Linked DNA regions of Mus musculus: all the other regions are reported to be linked to region 1. The links are microRNA targets in miRTarBase. Many come from high-throughput screens and were not tested one by one. Region 1 holds a microRNA gene; each other region holds the end of a gene's coding sequence.

Evidence for each region. The annotated mature microRNA mmu-miR-124-3p reads UAAGGCACGCGGUGAAUGCC and lies in region 1 at 3,086-3,105, shown strand. An mRNA with a match to its seed (bases 2 to 7 or 8) in the 3' UTR can be bound and repressed. Matches are read on the target gene's strand: a 7mer-m8 pairs with bases 2 to 8, a 7mer-A1 pairs with bases 2 to 7 and ends in A, and an 8mer does both.
Region 2: the mRNA of Fzd10 is a reported target of mmu-miR-124-3p. The part of its 3' UTR that is shown has no 7-base or 8-base seed match.
Region 3: the mRNA of Cul4b is a reported target of mmu-miR-124-3p. The part of its 3' UTR that is shown has no 7-base or 8-base seed match.
Region 4: miRTarBase lists Jpt1 as a target of mmu-miR-124-3p. The part of its 3' UTR that is shown has no 7-base or 8-base seed match.

The regions. Positions count from the first base shown.
Region 1 is chr14:64,587,624-64,592,695 of GRCm38, forward strand. It overlaps Mir124a-1 (microRNA 124a-1), which reads left to right and starts at 3,034; the gene lies at 3,034-3,118. It overlaps Mir124a-1hg (Mir124-1 host gene (non-protein coding)), which reads left to right and starts at 492. Exons shown (of 4, transcript NR_040709.1): 1 at 492-531; 2 at 1,154-1,344; 3 at 2,218-2,336; 4 at 2,650-5,072. Mir3078 (microRNA 3078) reads left to right here and starts at 3,562; the gene lies at 3,562-3,648.
Region 2 is chr5:128,602,520-128,607,591 of GRCm38, forward strand. Fzd10 (frizzled class receptor 10) reads left to right here. Exons shown (of 1, transcript NM_175284.3): 1 at 1-1,574. The coding sequence ends at 447. Among named protein-coding and RNA genes, the nearest start is that of Fzd10, 4.0 kb to the left of the region's middle.
Region 3 is chrX:38,529,585-38,534,656 of GRCm38, reverse strand. It overlaps Cul4b (cullin 4B), which reads left to right. Exons shown (of 23, transcript NM_028288.5): 23 at 929-3,041. The coding sequence ends at 1,024. Among named protein-coding and RNA genes, the nearest start is that of Cul4b, 44 kb to the left of the region's middle.
Region 4 is chr11:115,493,636-115,498,707 of GRCm38, forward strand. Jpt1 (Jupiter microtubule associated homolog 1) reads right to left here. Exons shown (of 5, transcript NM_008258.2): 5 at 3,710-4,664. The coding sequence ends at 4,516. Among named protein-coding and RNA genes, the nearest start is that of Nt5c, 4.4 kb to the left of the region's middle.

The DNA of each region.
Region 1 (5,072 bases):
TGAAGCTATTCAGGCAGGGGTAGGATTGAGCCCCCCGAGTCCACCCAGAGGACTTTGGCAGGGTCTGGGGCGGCCAGGGTGGCTTCAAGGGATCGGAGGGCTCTGACCACTGCAGATGCGGCGCGTGTGGGTGCGGTGAAAGCACCCACTTCTCCCAGGATCTAAACGGATAAACGGAAGCGAGTGTAAGTGTGGGGGTGCGAATCGCCACCTCCGGCCTTGGCTTTCCCGTTCGTGAGAGCACCCCCACTTCTCACTTTCCCCAAATCCGCATTTTTCTTGGCACAACCCTCCCGAACACCGAGCGAGGAGAGGGAGGTGCCCGGGGGCAGTGAGAGTGACGTGTGCTGGTGCAGAGGGGGGGGGGGGGGGCTGCGGGCCGGGCTCTGTGGACCTACTCCTAATCCTCTTGTTTTCGGAACTGTCAGCAGATGTGGCTTCTCTTAGCTGAATAATCCGTTAAAGGAATAATAATTTTTAAAAAGGACCTCGGCCTCACCCAACGAGGACAGTGAAGGAGATCAGCTCTTGGTAAGACTAAAAGAAAAGGCACTAAATTCTCTGCGTCCCTCTCTCTGTCTTCCTCTCAATCCCCTCACCCCCTCCCCCTCTCTTCTCTCCTCACCCCCCCCCCTTTCTCCCCCATCCCCTGCAATCCGCACTCGACGCGAGTTCACGCGCAGGGCTGGATTTCCAAGCTGCACTGCAACTTCTCAGCGCGTTATTATTATTCATCTGAGGGTGCAGCCTCTGCAACCTTCGCCTCCTGCGCTAGCATCCTTCCCCCTCGACCGCGGCCACCAGCAGAGCGGTTTCTTCTGCACGCGTGCTCTGGTTCACCAGAGGAGGATTCTGGCTTTTTGCTTTTTTGTTTTGGTGGTTTGGTTCGGTTTGGGGTTTTTTTTTTTTTTTTTTTTTTTTTTTTTTTGGTTTTGTGTCTTAATTCTTTCAGGGTCATCGCCAGGATGCTTTTCCTCCGGCCAGGTGGAGCCAGCATCAGCGCCTGCCAGCAGCAATTCCCTTCAATAGCCGAGGAAGCACTTGGGGCTTGGCCAGGGAGGCCGCTCCTTGCTTGCGGGGCTGACTTTAGCCTCCACTACTCTCCCGCATCCATCTGCGTGTATATTATCCCCATCCCTTTTTATTCCAATAGATCCGCCTTTGGTTTGGACTGGCTGAAACGCGGCGGACTGCAACCAGGATCCTTTAAAGGAGAACAAAAAGATGAGGATATTGTGCGGGGGTTCCGGGACAAAGCGTCTTGGGACGCGCGGAACTCTGGCTCCCCGATTGGAGAGATCAACGCTGCCCAACAGTACCCGGCCGGACCTGCGGACCTCTGAGGTTATTCGGACTCAATTTTATTGATTTTTGTGGCATGCTTTAAAAGGGTCAGTGTTAGGTAAAGACTGTGTCCCCCAACCCTGTGGGGTGGGTGGGAAGCTGAACGGAACCGATCCAGTTAGATTTAACTTGTCCTCTATGCCCTCTACCTGGCTTTTTTGAGCCATTGGGAAGGAGAATGGGGAAGGCTTAGAAAAGAGAAAGGGGGGGGGGGGACGACTGCCTGAAAGGATAAGGCACTAGTAGGGAGTGGGATGGACCAGGTGAGGGAGGTCTGTGGGTTAGGAAGCACCTTCCTCACTCTGGTGCACTGGGTGGGTTTGTTCAGGGAATGGCAACGTGGGTGTCTGTTGAAAGCAGTCTTGTGAAATTGACATGTACATGCATAAGGTGACTGGACTTGTGTGTAAACAGAGTGATGGAGAGCAGAGAGGGAGGGGTCTTAAAATAATATTTTATTGTCCCTATGGATTTGGGGATCTCTCCCCCACCCCACCCAGCTACATTCTATAGGGGTGACCTTTTAAAATCTACACCCACCCTTTACCTCTGTAAAACCGGTTGACGGGTGGGGTGGGGGAACATGTAGGGGTGCGCGCTCTCTCTCTCTCTCTTTTCCCCCTCCCCCCTCCCAGTCTCCCTCCTCCCTCTGTCTCCCCCTCCCTCTCCCTTCACTCCTCCCTCTCTCGCTCTCCCTTCGCTCCCCCTCCTTCTCTGTCCCTCCCTGCTGCATTTTGCATGAGCTATCTAGGTCATTAGCATTTTAGCGTATGCAAGACTTGACAAGGCTGATGAGGGGCCAGATGGGCCTCGCTCTTATTTATTTATTTTTTTTTTCTTTTCCTTTTTCCCATCCACCACTTGGGACCTAAGCGAGAGGACCGCAGCAGGAGAGTTCCGGAAGGCTGATTCCCACAGATCCTGGTAAGGGACCGCAGCAGCTCTGCCCTGCGGCACGCCCGGCCAGGCTACACCCGGACCCTACACTCAAGGTAAAGGCGGCGGTCACAAGCCCTGCCCAGGCAGCAGTAGCTGGGCCCCTGCTTCCCATCCCTTTCCTCTCCGTCATCTCCCTCCTCCTGGCCCCCCTCAGTTTCCTAGGCGAAGCTGAGAGCGAACTGGGTGGGTAGGATTCGCTGCGGTGGGGCGAGGTGGGGTTGATGTTTTTTCATTGTCTGGAACTGCAGGGGAGGCGAAGCGCGAGGAGAGGAGTGAGGGAGTCGGGGTAATTAACACGGGGGAGGCACCCCTCCGTCTCCCACTTCCACCCACATCCCGAACCCTCCACCCCCCTCCCCTTTGCAGGAAAAAGCTTGGAAACGAAAGGATGCGGGAGAACAAAGAGCCTACGGAGGACGTGGCTGTTATCTCATTGTCTGTGACTGGGGGAGCTGCGGTAGGAAGGATGCGGTGGTCCTTAGCTCATCGCGTTCCCCAACCCCACACCCTCCCTGCTGTCAGTGCGCACGCACACGCACGCGTCGCCAGCTTTTTCTTTCTCATCTCTCATTTTTTTCATCTCATCTTCTCCCCATCCCCTCCCTTTCTTTCCACCTTTCCTTCCTTTCTTCCTCCCTTCCTTTCTCCCATCCTCCCTCTCTTCCATCCTTCCTTCCTTTCCATCCTTCCTTCTTTCTTTCCTTCCTTCCTTCTTTCTTTCCTTCCTTCCTTCTTCCTTCCTCAGGAGAAAGGCCTCTCTCTCCGTGTTCACAGCGGACCTTGATTTAAATGTCCATACAATTAAGGCACGCGGTGAATGCCAAGAATGGGGCTGTCTGAGCACCTTGGGTCCACGAGGGCCTGCCACGGAAGGATCGACCCAGCACAACGCCCTGGGCAGATCTCAGCGCTGCAGCTGCAGGCGCCCACAGTACGGGTAGCAGGCTTCTGAGTGCCTCGCAAAGTAGCCCTTAGGGTGGGGAGGTGTGCAGCTACCGACAGAGAGGGGTTTGTGCAGATGCAAATAGAATCTAGGAAGCAAACAACTCATTCTGTGACAGAAACACGGATCTATGCAAGCGGGGGGGTGGTGGTGGTGGTGGCGGCGGCGGCGGCGGCGGCAGAAAATAGCCTGGGGACGGCTGGAGAGTAAAATGTGCCCCTCAGCTCTGGGACCCTGCCCATTGTAGAAGGCCGACACCTTCATCCCTACCTGTCTTAGTTCCGGATTTCAATTTATTACCCTTAAACAAATAATAATAACCAAGTACCCATGCGACTGGCAGACTGCCCCAAAGCCTAGACTGCAGCTACCTTGTATTGTGCTTGGGGTTGCTGGGGTAGTCTTTAGGGGAAGCTGTTTGTCACCCGTTGGTGGAGAGCTGTGGGCATTTGACAAGCTTAAACAGATCTCTGGAGTGAGCGAAGGCGATCGGCAAATTTGTTCATGGACAGCGCACAGACTCCATCAAAACTGACAGCTAGCCCACTGCTCTAAAGCAGGGCCTCCCAGCCTCCTTGGGGCTGTGGCTGAAGTTTCAGGCAGAAATCCAGAAGCTACAGGAAAAGGAGGCGCAGCCCACCCCCAGCCCCCAGAGTGTGGGCCTCTCCCCATCGCTCTTAAAACCCCAAGACAGAAGGAAAATCAGCATGAGTAAGGTGGAGGCCTAAGGAAAGTCTGTTTTGAAGCAGGCTGTCCAGGAACAGAAAGGGTTAATCCTCCCTCATCCTGAAGCACCTGCTTCCCAAATCAGCCCCCAACAGCAGCAGCTGGTCCTGGAGGCCCCCGACACAGTTCCATCCCGTCTCCATCTCAGTGTTCCGCCAACCTGCAGTGGATGGATGATGGCCTGGTGGCCGACCTAAACTCATTAATTTTCAGGTGGAGTAAATGGAGGAGGGGCAGGACCCAGCAGCAGAGGGAGGGAAAGGAGGCCAAGAGCTGGCCTCCTCCCCCCCCCCACAACCCACCCCCAGGAAGCAGGCTGTAGCCCTCCCCCCTGCTGTCATGCCAGAGGCCTGCCTTTGCAAGGCCAAGCCCATGAAGGATGTTTAGGAGTTTAATCTGATTCCTAACACAGTAATCAGGGTCTAAAAGAGCATCCGTTGAAGTTAATGGAGGACTCTTGTCTCAAAAAGCCTCAGCCTCATCTAGTCTAGTAAATTAGTATTTGAGGGTATATCATAGATCAGTACCTCTCTGGCCTAGTTTCCTCAAGAGTATTCATTATTTCTTGAGTATCTACTATGTGTCCTTCTTTACGATGATTTCAACTTCTAAATTTCCTCACAGAAGAGAATGTTAGAGCTAGCCAGGCTGAGCTTCAATTTACCACATTCCACCTAGGCATTCCCAGAACCTTCTCCCGCTCTGCAGAAATAAGCCACCGCCTGCTTACTCTTGCAGGCAGAAAGCTGCAGTGCCCACACCCTGAGGGTGTCTCTGGCTGAGTCCTACCGGACAAGCCAGACTGCTTTCAAGGCAGAAAGGGAAAGACCCAGCCACAATGGCTGTCCTAAGAGACGCCATAGCCATTGCTTCGAGAAAATCTACCTCCCTTGAAATAAAAATTGGCCCTTTCCTGGGGTGCTCCCTCACTTCACAAATGGGTTAGAAGAGAACGGCTAGTGTGCTGTACCATTTTGGGGGTACACCCATTTGCCCCCCCCCCCCCGTGCTCATTGAGATGTTATTTTGCCTTCAAGCAATGGCCTAAGCAGATGATGGCCCAACCCCCCTGGACCACAAATATCCCCATTAGCAATCCTCTACTCAGTAATTGCTTCCC
Region 2 (5,072 bases), not on the chromosome of region 1:
ACGGACAAGCTGGAGAAGCTCATGGTACGCATAGGGGTCTTCTCCCTCCTCTACACTGTGCCGGCCACCTGTGTGATTGCCTGCTATTTTTATGAACGCCTCAACATGGACTACTGGAAGATGCTGGCCACCCAGCACAAGTGTAAGATGAACAATCAGACCAAGACACCTGACTGCCTGATGACCACCTCCATCCCTGCCGTGGAGGTCTTCATGGTCAAAGTGTCCATGCTGCTGGTGGTGGGCATCACCAGTGGGGTGTGGGTCTGGACTTCCAAGACCCTGCAGTCCTGGCAACACGTATGCAGCCGGGGGCTAAAGAGAAAAAGCCGGAGGAAACCAGCCAGTGTGGTCACCAGTGCAGGGATCTACAAAAAAGCCCAGCACCCCCAAAAACCTCACCTTGGGAAGTATGAACTGCCCGCCCAGCCTTCAGCCTGCGTGTGAAGGCAGAGCTGGCTGCAAGAACAGGACATTCGGAGCCCAAATGGGCAGCTTTTCTTGGTTGGCTGGTTGTTGGTAAATCAAAGTAAAAAGAATATGTATATATATATACATGTATGTGTATGCATGTGCATATATATGCATATATTTACACATACATGAAGTCTACCTTGAGGTTCAGAACAGCTGAATGTAAAGGGTTCTGTTCAGTTTGTTGCCTCCCTGAAGGGTCGCTCATTAAGGAGGGAGCCTCTTGTGTAACTAATTTGTGGTAAAGTAGTTGATTCAACCGCCCTCCAGAAAACTTTTGTTTAGGCCTCAAGCACACAGCTGTGTATTCAGAAGGCTTTGCTGCCTGTGCATAAACTTGAGGCTGGAGAGCTCCTTTGTAAGCTAAAGAGCTTTCCTGGGGGGGGGGGGGGGCAGCCAGTGAGCCACCCAAGGGCCTGCTCTCCCTCCCTCACTCCCCCAGCTAGGCTGCTGTATGGGTGGGAGGGAAGGTGAGGAGGAGAGGGGATAAAAGAGGTGACACCCCCCCCAGCCCAAGGTCTGCCTGCAGATCCCTTAAAAGAGAGTCACTTCCCCAGCCTTCATAGCCATGTTTCTCCCAACACAGAGCCCACGCTACCCTCTCACCCCACTGCAGATCTAACACTGGAGAATTCAAATGGTGTGCAATACTTTTTTTTTTTTTTTTTTACATTTTCCCCCTCTCCCTAGCAAAACAAATGAGAGAGAGAAAAAGTATTTTGTTGTAAATAAAAGGCAAGAAAAGAAATCATCTAACAAAAGAATTTAGAGGCTCAAGCCTCAGGGTTGGGGGTTGGGGGGGCGCCTTCAGCCTGATACATTTTGTGGCTTTTTAATGGAAACCAAGCCAGTGTGTTCTACACACTGGGACTGATTTGTGGAGAGGAAGGGGGAGGGGGGGAAGCCAGTGGAGAGCACCAGAGGGCTTATTGACTCTCTGAATTGTTAAACAAATGATTTCCATGAGTGGTCTTGAAGCACTTGGGAAGACAAACTTTGTCTCCAGCCAGGGAGGGCCATGCCTGCCTCTGTATATCTGTAATATAGGATATTTTTCATGCTCCACTATTTTATTAAAAATAAAAGACATTCTTTAGTTTGCTGCTAGTCACTGTGCATTGGTGAGGGGAGCGTTCTCCATTTCTTAGCAGATTCTTGGGTGTGCGAGGCTGGCTAGACATGGACCATGAACCTGGATACAAGCTGGCAAAATAAAACATCCTGGGGCTCAGAGGCCTGTGTGCTGGCTGTGGGAAAAGGTGGCGGTGACTCTGCCCCCAAGGCTCCATGGATACACAGAATGCCGAGACCACACTCACCCAGGATGCAGCAGTCTTTACCTGACCTACTGTGTGCACCAGTCTGAGTGGACCACTCTACTGCAGCTCTGGGGCCATGGGATACATTTCAGAGCTGGATAGGTGAAAGTGGGACTAAGTGTGTGGTGGGGGGAGGGTCATCAGCAACAAATTCAGAAGCTTGGCCACCTTGAAGTTTCTGGTACCCTTTCTTCTCATCACTAAGACAAGCTATAGGCCCTGGAGCAGACCCAGGATCCACTAGGCTTGACTAAGCTAAAGTTCTAGCTAGAAGGACCCAAGGACACAGTTCAGCTCTGAGAAATTGGGGGGGAGGGGTCAGTGTAGACCTACCCAACTCTGACCTTCATAGCTCAGAAGCACTTTAAACTATTTGAGCCCTTCTGAAGCAGAGATACCAGCTTGATCGTGGCTTTCTGAAGCAAGTATTGGGGAAGTTTCACAGGGCCATGGGTCCTTGAGCAGGAAGGACAGGTGAATTGGGTAGTCTGGGGAACAAGTTCTAGAAATCAATGCTGGGCAGCCGGGCCATCGGTGAGCATAAAACCCAGAACCCAGAATCATGGAAATAAACCTCTATATTGACTATTGTTGTCCTTACCACCAGAAGAGACACTAAGAGTGAGTGTGTGTGTGTGTGTGTGTGTGTGTGTGTGTGTGTGTGTGTGTGTGAGAGAGAGAGAGAGAGAGAGAGAGAGGATCACTGGAGTGGCAACTGGCCAGACCTAGGCTCATCTGCCCCCCTGAGCTGTAGTGGTTAGTTGTATAGGTTTTGAAAGTTCATACAGAGCAATGCCTCAGCCAAGAACATGATAAGGCCTTGTTCAGCTGTGAGCCTGCTTGACGGTGGCCCCATCCCCAACAGTGACAGGGATCCTGTTTACAAATATCAAGAGACTAACAAGTGGCCAGAAGTGTGCTTTTAACATGTGCTCCTTGGGCCATAGTGAGAACAGCCTGAGCTTCTAAGGTATTTGTTTCCTGCACCTTCTCTTGTTTCATCCGTCTCTCTACCTGCATCAGTCTGTCTCTTGCAGTTGAACTCTAGTTCTAAACCAGATGGTAGATTTAAAGAAAAACATCAAAGCTTAAAAGTTAGAAAGCTTACACCCAGACACACAGACACACAAACACACCACTTATCTTTGGACACCCCCCCACCCCCCCACCCAATCCCCTCCCCCTCAGCTCTGTCCAGACCTCGAAAGGGAACTGCTGTTTCCTTAATTTGGAGACTGTAGGCTTCACTCCAGGACCACAGCCATGCTGATGGAGAGACAGGAGGATTTCTGAGTTCGAGGCCAGCCTGGTCTACAAAGTGACTTCCAGGACAGCCAGGGCTATACAGAGAAACCCTGTCTCAAAAAACAAAACAAAACGAAACAAAACAAACAAACAAAAAACCCCAAGAAAATCAAAACAAAACAAAAAAAAAAAACCCCAACCAACCAAACAAACAAAAAAAGGCCCGGAAAAGGTGAATGTCAAGGTCTCAAAGCACTCAGTTCTTGATCTCCTACCACCAGCTGTTGCTCACATGTTAAGAGAGCCCGACTTAGGGAAACCATAGCCTCATAGAGGAGACAGCGGCTCACGTCTCCTGAGTTCCAAATATTGGGGAGATATCCTGAGCCAGGGGTCCCCCCTGTGGTTGGGAGACCCAGCACAAGTGCCTGCAAGAAAAGTGAAGCTGCTGGGGTCATGCGAAGGGCAAAGGTAGGAAAGAGAACACCCCTTTGAGAAAGTGATAGGCAGGGTCTAGCTGGTGCCCCTTATATACCCCACACCAAGCACAGTGTCTTGTCCAGTCAGTACACAACACAGGGAAAGAATGGGGAGAACAGCTGTGGCCACAGCCCAGGCAGATATGAGAGCCTCTCTGGACCAGTGGTTCAGGAAGTGATCTTTTCAGTAGATGGCGTCGGGGGTGGGGAGATCCAAGAAGCACCAGGTGTCTGTATGTCCAGCCCTCTGACGAGGAAATTCAAGGTTCAAAGGGCTCCGGAGTCCAGCCTAAGGTCTCAGCTTATTTTTTGAACTCAGGGTCTCTCACTAAACTAGTCACCCTGGCTAGACTGGCCAGTAAACTCTGGCAATCCTGTTTCTGCCTCCTCTCTAGCACTGGGATCATGAATACACTGTTACACTCCAGTGTTGACAGGGAACTAGGGGTTCAAATTCAAGGTTCCTTTGATAATTCCTAGACTAAGCCAGGATATGAGATGAGCACTAAGCCCAGAACAGTCCAGTGCCACAATGGAGAAACCAGGCCTACTTATACATCCATTGCCCCTCCCCTCGGAGAGTCAAACATGCCTCGCTAATGGTCTCCAAAGAGAATGAGCTTTTGAGCTTTCCTTACGGGAACACTTTCCGACGCCAGGCACAGGATTCCAGAGAATACCCTCTGATCTTGCAAGTGTAAAAGGCGGCGCAGTGGCTTCGCCCCGGTGAGGGAGACCCTAGCTCTGTGTCTTTGAACACCCTCACATCACAGTCACCTCCCAGGGACAAGGGCTCTGTGCTGACTCCTCCCCCAAGCAAACGGATGGCCCAGCAGCAACAGCTGGAAGATGAGAAACGCAGACAGGCTGCAGGGGAGCCCCGGGATGACACGGGGCTGGGGGTTTTCATGTTTTATTAAGAGTGCGGAAGGCCAAGCTGGGGGGAGGAGGGACTGAGGCGTTTGAAATCCAAAAAGAATGAGTTGCTATCAGGTAGGTGAGCTGTTGTAATTGGGGACACCCCTAGGAAAATGACACGGTTGGAGCGCTGGCAGGTCCTCGGCAGCCTGTGGGAACCTTCGGAAGGCATCGTATCTTGCCTTTTATTAGAAGACATTTTTAATTAAAAAATGGGGATTCCCAGCCTCTCCTCCAGGGGCTTTAGTGTCAATGAAAGGATTCAAAGCCATTCTTTGCCTGGCACCTGCCTCCGTCTAGAAGGTCGTGGCTTCTGGGGGCCTTGGAGGGAGAGTTCTCAACCTGAGCACTAGACTATATCTTAAAGGCTATTCTTACCTGTTTTAAGGACCTGTAAAAGCAGGGTGATGCATGCCGGAAATTCTAGCGTTTGTGAAGTTGAGGTAGGTCAGTTGCCAGCTCAAAGTCAGCCTGGGCTACATAGGGAGAGCCTTACTCAAAACAAGGAAAACACCCTCTCATGGTATCCCGAGAACCTCTGCATTTGCCCCATCCCTACCCTCAGAGTCCCAAACACACACACTGTTAGCTATGTGCACCATCCTCCACTGGCAACCTGCCTGCCCAGCCACCCTTA
Region 3 (5,072 bases), not on the chromosome of region 1:
CGACCTTGAGCTGGAGGTACAGGCACTTGTGAACCCTGGCATTGGTGCCAGAGCTGGACTTCAAGAGTAGTACACGCTAAGAAGCCCTGAGACTTTGTTGGTGGTGTTTGTGACAAGGTCTATCTAATACGTCCCAGGCTGGCCTTCAGTTCTCTTTGTATCTGAGTCTGAATATAGACATGTTTGACCATGCCCAGTTCTAAATGAATTCATGTCATAGTGAAATTTTAACTACAAGATTCAGAGGTCCAAATCACTTAACTAAATAAATTAAAATTCATAGTAAACCAGAAACATAAAGAGGTGAATTAATATGATACGTTCCCAAATTTCCTGTAATTGTGTGAATGTGTGGTATTGGGGAGTAGAACCTAGGCCCCTTTCATATGCTAGGCAAGTACTGTACCACCTGGTAAAAGCCTTAACTGCCCCAGCCATTTTGTTTGACTTTTTTGCCAACTTTCATGAACTCACTATTGCCATTCCTCAAGCTACCCAAGTAGCAAGGATTATGTAGGCTTATGCCAGTATGTCCAGTATTTTATATAGGTCATATAGTAATTTCTTTTACACTTTTTAATTCATGTGTTAATTGTTTATTTACTTAATTTCAGGTTTGTTTGTGACAGAGTCTTATTGTGTACCCCAAGCAGGTGTTCCTCTGAATCCTCTTGGCTCTGGCCTCTTACTTGCTGGGATTTTAGAAGTATGCTACAATGCTCCAGCTACATTTAATTTAAGTTTATTTAATTTAGAGACAGGGCTTGTCCTGGAGCTCACTATGTAGACCAGACTGGCCTCAAACTCTGAGATCTGCCTGCCTCTGTGCAGTCACTTCTGGCCTTTGTTCTCTTTTAACGGGATGTTGGTGGATGGACTTAAGCTGGTGCTTCTGAGTTTTGCATTGAAAGTGTGCTTTCCCTTACAGCCTGCTGATCTTAAGAAGAGAATAGAATCCCTCATTGACCGGGACTACATGGAAAGAGATAAAGAAAATCCAAATCAGTACAACTATATTGCATAGAATGTTGGCCTTGGAACTTGTCATAATGCTGTAGCCATTGGATAAACTAATTTGTTGAATCTCATGTTATTTGACTTCTTTTATACTTCTGATGACCAAATGAAGCAGTGTAATGGGAATAGTTGTGTGGACTTTTCTCAGTGGTTAACATACCCATTTTAAAGAGTAATACTTAACTTTTAAGAAGAATGTTGTTGAATTCTATGCATGTTATTTAGTATGATGTGCAGAAAACTCTTTAAGAAAGTACCTGGGTCTTCATGATTCCTTTTGGAACTGGGGAAGAGATCCCTATGGCCATTAAAAGGGGGGAGGGTGATTCTTATACATCATTAATAAAGCAAAAGGTTTATTTGCCTAAAAGTCATTTAAAGATACTTAAACTGCATGCAAATTTTATTTACTGTACAGAGTTCTGGATGTATTTATCAAATAGAAAAACCACCCTTGACTTGGTTGTTTACCCATTTTGTGGTTTCCCTTGAAAAGAAAAGTAAGTTTTCATTGTTGTTGGCATTCTGTTACACTGAAGGGGAAATAATCTTATTTGGAAACAAGTTTTTCAAGTAGGGTGACAGTTCCTTCCATCGTACCTTATATATTCGCATCCTAAAGGTTTCCCATTAGGACTCTGGGATGTGTACATAAGACTTAGCCCCACATTCACTGTGCTGATTAACAGGAACTTATTAAAATAGAAAATTTGCTGATCGTCTTGTACTACAAGAACATAGCAAGAGGGGAAAACCCAGGTCCTTTTATTAAAACTGAATACAGTATGAAAATCACAGGAGACCAAAATCAACAAATAAGTTTTATAAGTTGCAGGAGTAAAAATGTACCAGCTGCTTTTCATTATGTTTCAGTGGTTAAATGTTTGGGTCGTGCTGCCGTCTTTAAGTTGGGTGGATCGTCAATTGTCAGAGGTTTCCTAGGATTTGCATTCCAGTTTTTTCTACTAAATGATTTTTTTTTTTACTGTCATGCGCCTCCTGATTTGGAGAAACTCAACATATGATTCTCCCTTGTCTTCCTTGCACACTCCCTATTGAAAACTTCAAGTTCTGTAGTCCTTTTTTTTTTAATTGCTTGAATTTAAGAGTTCTTTATAGACATTGGACACTTGCTGTTCAGGAAGTGTCTCCAAATTGGTCTCACACAGAAAGTAAGGAAAGTATTGTTTTTCAATTTCAAACTGTGAGTAAAAGACTTTTCTTCCTCACCAGAGGACTCTGCTTTGCTTCCTGGTTTCTCTTTCCATGGAGGAAATGGATGATGGCAAAGAAGCAGACTGTTTTTGTGTTTTCTTTTACATTAGAACTTCTTCAGTGCTTTCTCCACTAGCACATATCTTTGTCTTTATGGAGCAATTAGGCATACTTTCAGCTCCGAAGACTTGGGGGCTCTTATGTCTGCTATTGTTTTCTTGAATTCTCAAAGACCTGTGGCTAGCTATCTGTATTTTTTAAGTTGCCTGTTTCTCTCTAATGCATCAACTTGCACACTGTTTGACTATGTACAGTATTTAGAGTTAACTTCCCGGTTCTTTCTGAGCAGCTATTTCGTATATTTTTTCCAGCTCCTCCCTGATTTCCTTACAGGAGCTCTTCTGACAAGGAATGTGGCTGTTATGTTTACTGGATCATCAACATCAGTGTTGTAATTCATCCCTGTGTTGGTCTCTGGGATATGGAGACTATTACACCACTCACTAGTTACTCTTAAAAGAATTTGTAGGTAGGTTTGTTCCTACTAGGACGCTCTTGATACCACCTTCATTATCTTGAAAGTGGGTGCCTGTCCTGAAGTTCTTAATTCTTTAAAAACTTGACGGTGTTTCAGCTGAAAAGCTAGCCAGACTACTAAGGGAAACTGTTTATGAAACTGACAAGTAATGGCAAACTCCATTGGATTATTATGAGTTTCAGTTGTTCTGTATCGGTTGAATTTTTGTGCTCTTCCCTGTGTATGTGTGGTGGTTCTATTTTTCTCCAATAAAACTTTTATTTTAAAAAAATGTTTCTGGGGAAGATATTTAAACTCGAAATATTGTGAAAAAATTGTAAATTAGAATGAATACATAAAATCTTCCTAATGACTTCCTTAATTCACATTTGACAATTCATACTTGATTATTTTTATACTTCTCTTTGTTATTTTACTGGTAGTTTTGAGATACTGTGGAGGAGGTTATGGTAAAAAGACAGTAAATTTTCCAGTATTCTCAAAGTAGACAATTATTTCCACTTTAGAAAAATCAAGGGCACGTGTAAATATGTTTCCTTCAAACTTTCAAAGTCAGCAATTTCCTGCCAGTATAGAAGTACTTTAGAGTGAAGTTGGAAGAAAAAGAAGACATGCTTCTTGTGGTGCTTGTTGTTCTGTTCTGAACCAAAAATCCAGTCACACATGTTCAATGGTTTCTAATTCAGTTCCTGAGTCTGCTGAATGGTGACTCTGCCGTAACCTTGACATCTTTGCTACCGTGTGTGTCTGTCTGTGTGTTTGTACAGGGGAGGAAACCAGTTTATTCTATGTAGCCATCAGTATCTAAGATTTATAAGTTTATGTTCTGATATCCATAAATCTTTTATGTCTTTGCAACTGAGTCTTGCTGTGTAGCCCAAGCAGTCCATAAATAATGTGATCTTCCTGACTTGGGCTCTAAGTGCTGTCTACTTACACTGTTTGACTGTACACAGTATTTAGAGTTAACTTCCCAGTTCTTTCTGAGCAGCTATTTCATATAATTTTTCCAGATTATAGCTGTGTACCACCATGTCTTGTCTCACACATTTTTTTGTTTTTTTTTTATTCATTTATTTAGTGTAAGTACACTGTAGCTGTCTTCAGACACACCAGAAGAGAGTATCCGATCTCATTACAGATGGTTGTGAGCCACTACCATATGGTTGCTGGGAATTGAACTCAGGACCTTTGGAAGAGCAGTCAGTGCTCTTAACCACTGAGCCATCTCTCCAGCCTCTAAGCACATCTTTCATTGTATGATTTTTGTCTGTTTTAATGACCACCCTGTATAATTTTACACATGACAAAAAGATACATACTTCATTTTTTCATTCACATAAAATTGCTAAAATAAATAGCTTATAAAGAAGAAAGACCCAAGGATACTGGGACTTTATATAGCTGCACTTTTTTTTTGATATTTTCTTTATTTACATTTCAAATGTTTTCCCCTTGCTGGGTCCCCCCTCCAGAACCCCTATCCATAAGTGCACTTTAAAAGTGTCCTTTTCTAATGCTTCACTAAAGATTTTTTTTTTACATTTTATTTTATGAGTACACTGCAGCTGTCTTCAGACAAACTGCAAAAGGGCATTGGATCCCATTACAGATGCCTGTGAGCTACCATGTGGTTGCTAGGGATTGAACTCAGGACCTCTGGGAGAGCAGTTTTAACCACTGAGCTAGCTCTCCAGCCTGGATTTTTTTTTTTTTTTTGGGTCAGTTGCTTACAAAGATTTTGCTTTAGGTCAAGCAAGAATTGGTGGCTCATGCCACTAATCCCAGTCCTTGGAAGGCAGAGGAAGGTGGATGGACTTGTCAGTTCCAGGCCAGCCAGGGCTGCATAATGAGGCCCTATCGGAGAAACAGCAATAAAGCCCAAAAGCCCTGTTTCACATTGGCATAGTGATCTGGTTCAAATCATACACTTGTTCAATTATTTTTTCTTCTGCTATTCAAGTGTTCTTCTGAACGGATACATTATATACTTTTATAGTTAATATTTAAGAGTATTGTCTAGCATAGTAAAAGACCCAATTCATTTTATAAAACCTTATTTGCTATAGAATATAAGAATGTATACTATTGGACACATTAGAACTTTGCAATTTTTACAAGCTACAAAATCATCTTTTCACTCTCTAATTCCTATAACATCTTTCCATTTTTAATTTTCTATTGTGGTAATACACATAAGAATGTACCGTTCGAAGCATGTAATATCCAGTTGAGACATTCAGTGTGTTCACAGTGCTGTGCAGTTATTTGTAGTTTTAGAACATTTCCAGCACCTATTATT
Region 4 (5,072 bases), not on the chromosome of region 1:
TATCTTTACCCTATTTAACTCAGGCTTCTCCCAACATCTCCTGGACACACACCCCTTACTTTTTTTGCAACAGGGTTTTTTTTGTTGTTGTTGTTTTTGTTTTTGTTTTTGTTTTTTTGAGACAGGGTTTCTCTGTATAGCCCTGGCTGTCCTGGAGCTCACTTTGTAGACCAGGCTGGCCTCGAACTCAGAAATCCACCTGCCTCTGCCTCCCGAGTGCTGGAATTAAAGGCGTGCGCCACCACGCCCGGCTGCAACAGGGTTTTATGCATCCAAGTTTGCCTCAAATTCACTCCCTACCTGGGCTTGCCACTAATTCCAGATACCTCTGCCTCCACCTCTGCCCCCTCACGTGAATATCTGTGCGCCACTTGCAAGCATTCAGAGGCCATCAAGCTTCAAGGCCGTGGAGCGAGAGTTAGAACCAGCTGTGAGCTGCTAAGAGGGTGCTGAGAACTGAACCTGGGTCTTCTGCAAGACAGTGAATGCTCTTGTCTTGAGACAGGGTTTCTCTGCATAGCCCTGGCTGTCCTGGAGCTCTCTTTGTAGATCAGGCTGGCCTCAAACTCACAAGAGATCCACCTGCCTTTGCTTCCTGAATGTTGGGATTAAATGTGTGCTACCGCTGCCTGGCCCAGCAAATGTTCTTTAGCACTAAGCAACCCTCCAAGCAAGCATACGAACCCCATTTATAAAATGGTTTGAAGATCTGACTTTACAGAATCTTTTCTATCTTGGGGTGTTAAACCCCCTCCTACAAATGTTTCCAGACAGTCCCCTAAAATCTGCTCCAATAATGGAGTCTGGCTGAACCTCCACTCCCTCAAAACACCTGCCACCAGGTGCTTATCTCTATAATAAAAGTTAAGGCCAACTGTCAAGTTAGAACACCAGCCAGGTAACTCCCTTCCCAGGAGCCCCACCCTTGCTCGGAGGCTCAGAAGGATGGGTACAGGTTTACTCCCTGAGATTCATAGTGGAAAATCAGGCCTTTAAAAGCCATGGCCCACCCATTCAGCAAGCTAGCCTGTTGCAGTACACAGAAATGATTGTAGGCTACAGCTGTCAGTCAAACATGTAAAATGTTTTAGAACAACCTAGTTTATGCTTTCTTAAAAGATTTATGTCTATGAGTATGTGTCCATCTCTGCAGACACACCAGAAGAGAGCATCAGATCCCATTACAGGATGGTTGTGAGCCGCCATATGGTTGCTGGAAATTGAACTTGGGACCTCTAGAACATCTAGCTCTCTTTTGCTCCTGCCCTGCAGTAAAGTCTTAACTGCTAGCCATCTCTCCGGCCCTGTAATCTCTACTCTTAAAGATACACCTAGCAGTTCCAAGGTCTGGCTTTGCCAGTAAGTACTAGGCTCAAATAACCAGCAAGGGAGCCCAGCCTGTCAGAAACACAAGTGGACATTGTGACAGTCAACCTGAACCTTCCTGTCCATCCACCCCAGAAAGTTTCCTGTCACCTTGTTTGTGTGGCAGTCTGTTGTAGCTATGTGGACTCTCCCTTTGCAGCTTGCATCACTGAACACTAGCCATTATTGATCTCAAGGTAGAAACCTACCTTGGTATTGGGGGTGGGAACACATGATGGGATGGGATGACAGTGAAGGTGACAAGGGAACAGAAAAGACTGGCTGCAGGGGAAAAAAAAAAAAAGCCGGGCATGGTGGCACACGCCTTTAATCCCAGCACTGGGGAGGCAGAGGCAGGCGGATTTCTGAGTTCGAGGCCAGCCTGGTCTACAAAGTGAGTTCCAGGACAGCTGCAGGGGTTCAAAGTCAGGGCCTCCTACATCTGCCCCGGTGCTAAGACAGTGTTAAATGTTAGTCTGATCCTACACAAAGGATCAGAGGTAGAAAAGCCCATCCTGGACAGCTATGGAGGTGCACAGCCCTGTACTACAGTGGGCAGCTATGGTGGGGCACAGCCCTGTACTACAGTGGGCAGCTATGGTGGGGCACAGCCCTGTACTACAGTGGGCAGCTATGGTGGTACACAGCCCTGTACTACAGTGGGCAGCTATGGTGGTACAGAGCCCTGTACTACAGTGGGCAGCTATGGTGGTGCACAGCCCTGTACTAGTGGGCAGCTATGGTGGGGCACAGCCCTGTACTACAGTGGGCAGCTATGGTGGGGCACAGCCCTGTACTACAGTGGGCAGCTATGGTGGTACACAGCCCTGTACTACAGTGGGCAGCTATGGTGGGGCACAGCCCTGTACTACAGTGGGCAGCTATGGTGGGGCACAGCCCTGTACTACAGTGGGCAGCTATGGTGGTACACAGCCCTGTACTACAGTGGGCAGCTATGGTGGTACAGAGCCCTGTACTACAGTGGGCAGCTATGGTGGGGCACAGCCCTGTACTACAGTAGGCAGCTATGGTGGGGCACAGCCCTGTACTACAGTGGGCAGCTATGGTGGTACAGAGCCCTGTACTACAGTGGGCAGCTATGGTGGTACAGAGCCCTGTACTACAGTGGGCAGCTATGGTGGTGCACAGCCCTGTACTAGTGGGCAGCTATGGTGGGGCACAGCCCTGTACTACAGTGGGCAGCTATGGTGGGGCACAGCCCTGTACTACAGTGGGCAGCTATGGTGGGGCACAGCCCTGTACTACAGTGGGCAGCTATGGTGGTACACAGCCCTGTACTACAGTGGGCAGCTATGGTGGGGCACAGCCCTGTACTACAGTGGGCAGCTATGGTGGTGCACAGCCCTGTACTAGTGGGCAGCTATGGTGGGGCACAGCCCTGTACTACAGTGGGCAGCTATGGTGGGGCACAGCCCTGTACTACAGTGGGCAGCTATGGTGGGGCACAGCCCTGTACTAGTGGGCAGCTATGGTGGAGCACAGCCCAGTACTACAGCTGTGCAATGTTGACATTAACTCAAACCAAGAGCTACAATCTGTCTCAAACACAGCAGAAGGCATTGGATCCCATTACAGATGGCTATGAGCAACAATGTGGTTGCTGGGGATTGAACTCAGGACCTCTGGAAGAGCAATCGGTGCTCTTAACCACTGATCCATCTCTCCCGACAATCTGTCTCAAAAGAAAAAAATCTACCCTGCATTTTTGAAGAAAATTCCACTTCCCCTTGGACTTTCATTACACTGCACTTCTGCACTTTTTGTTTTGTTTTTGGGTTTTTTTTGTTTTTTTTTTTTTTTGGTTTTTCGAGACAGGGTTTCTCTGTATAGCCCTGGCTGTCCTGGAACTCAGAAATCCGCCTGCCTCTGCCTCCCGAGTGCTGGGATTAAAGGCGTGCGCCACCACGCCCGGCTTTTTGTTTTTTAGCAATTTTAACTTATTTACCCAGACATGTGTCTTTATGAGCGTATGCTACATATGCGGGCGCGGGTGCTACAGGAGGGAGGAGGATTGCACCTGGGCCTCCTGCTGATTGCAAGCAGAAGTGAGCCACCTGACGAGGTGCTGGGACTTGAACTCAGAGTCGCTGGATGAGAATCCCAGGACTCTTAACCACTGAGCCATCTTTCCAGCAACTCCACTGGCGTGCAGGGAACTGTCGGAAACCCTCAGTGGGTTCCACCTCTACATAAACTGGGCATGGTGGTGCATATCTACTACACAGCACTTGAAGGTGGAGTCCAAGGGCAGCTTCAGCTACACAGCGCGCACACATTCACTCTCTCACTCCCCCCGCACCCCCCAAAAAAGAGAAAGACAAAACACGGTGCTTCAAAAGGTGGGTATTGTTTACTTTAAGCAACAGTCCAGGACTAAGGAGTACAAGTGTCAAGGGTGAGACTTTCTCCATGGTCAGGCATCAGCATCATGCACATGGCACTTCTTCCGTCAAGGAGGTCCCTGTGGGAGCTGCGCCCACAGTCCCACTCTGGGACGGACGGCCTTCCTGTGTGCTTCACCTTGCAATTCCAGGGAGCTTGCTTGTGTACCTGAAGCCATCCTCTGCGCTGGGTGGCTCTGCCCCGCAGCTGGCCAGCCACAGTGGCCAATGGCATCTTCAGGGTACAGAAGGCAGCTTGTCTGCTCTGCAGGCAGCAGGATGTGAGGTACAGCTGTTTGATCACTCCACATGGCACAGGAAGGTGCACTTAGCAAAGGGCACCGATGGTGGGGCAAGTGCAAGGCAAGCTGAGTGGTGCCCACCCTGTGGAGCTGGGAGCAGGGTAGTGCCTGAGGCTGCTGTCGGTCCCATCACATGAAGCCAAGGACATCGTCAAAAACCCTGGTACATAAGAGTCTCTACACATCAGGAACCAGATCATCTGTTCTTAGAAACAGTCTACTACTCCAGTCTACTACTAGAAAACACTCATGCCATGGCGCACAGACCCAGGAGTCAGACAGACAGAAGGAAAGGAAGAGAGGAAGCAGGGAAAGACAGCGGTACATAAAGTGCTTCTCCTTTAATGAAACCAATCCGAGAGATGTACAGTCAGCTCACGCTGTGCAGTTCCCAAGCATGGGACAACAAACAGACAGACAGAAGGACAGAGTTCCAACACAAGAAGCTAACCCAAGACCAGGCTGGACTTGCCGCCAGGGGGGTTTCTCCTGGATGGCACTGGGGCTGGAGCCACTGGGCTGGGCACAGGAGCAGCGGGCACTGGCTTCTCCTCCATCTGCGCCAGGTTGGCTTGGAAGTCTGTGTCCACATTTTCTAAGAAAACAGTTTCAAAATAGTTCAAACAAGTGGAAAAAAAATATCAACAGTCACCAACTGAGGTAATTGTACCCAGAAATGGAACCTGTCAGTGTGTTACCTCCTCAGTTGTGTATGTATGTGGTTTTCAAAAGCCCAAGATTCCATTATCCAAAAAACAGGATCAGACGGATAACACCTGTTTTTGTTTGGTTTTAGTTTTTTTGAGGCAGGGTTTCACTGCGTAGCCATGGATGTCTCAGAAGTCACTCTGCCCCAGACTCTTAGAGACTGGCCTGCTTCTGCCTCTGTGCGGAATTAACAGTGCCACCCTGTGCTGTTTTTCTTTTTGAGTCAGGATCTCACTATGTGTGTAGCCTGAGCTGTCCTGGAACTCACTCTATGATGCACATCTTTAATCCCAAC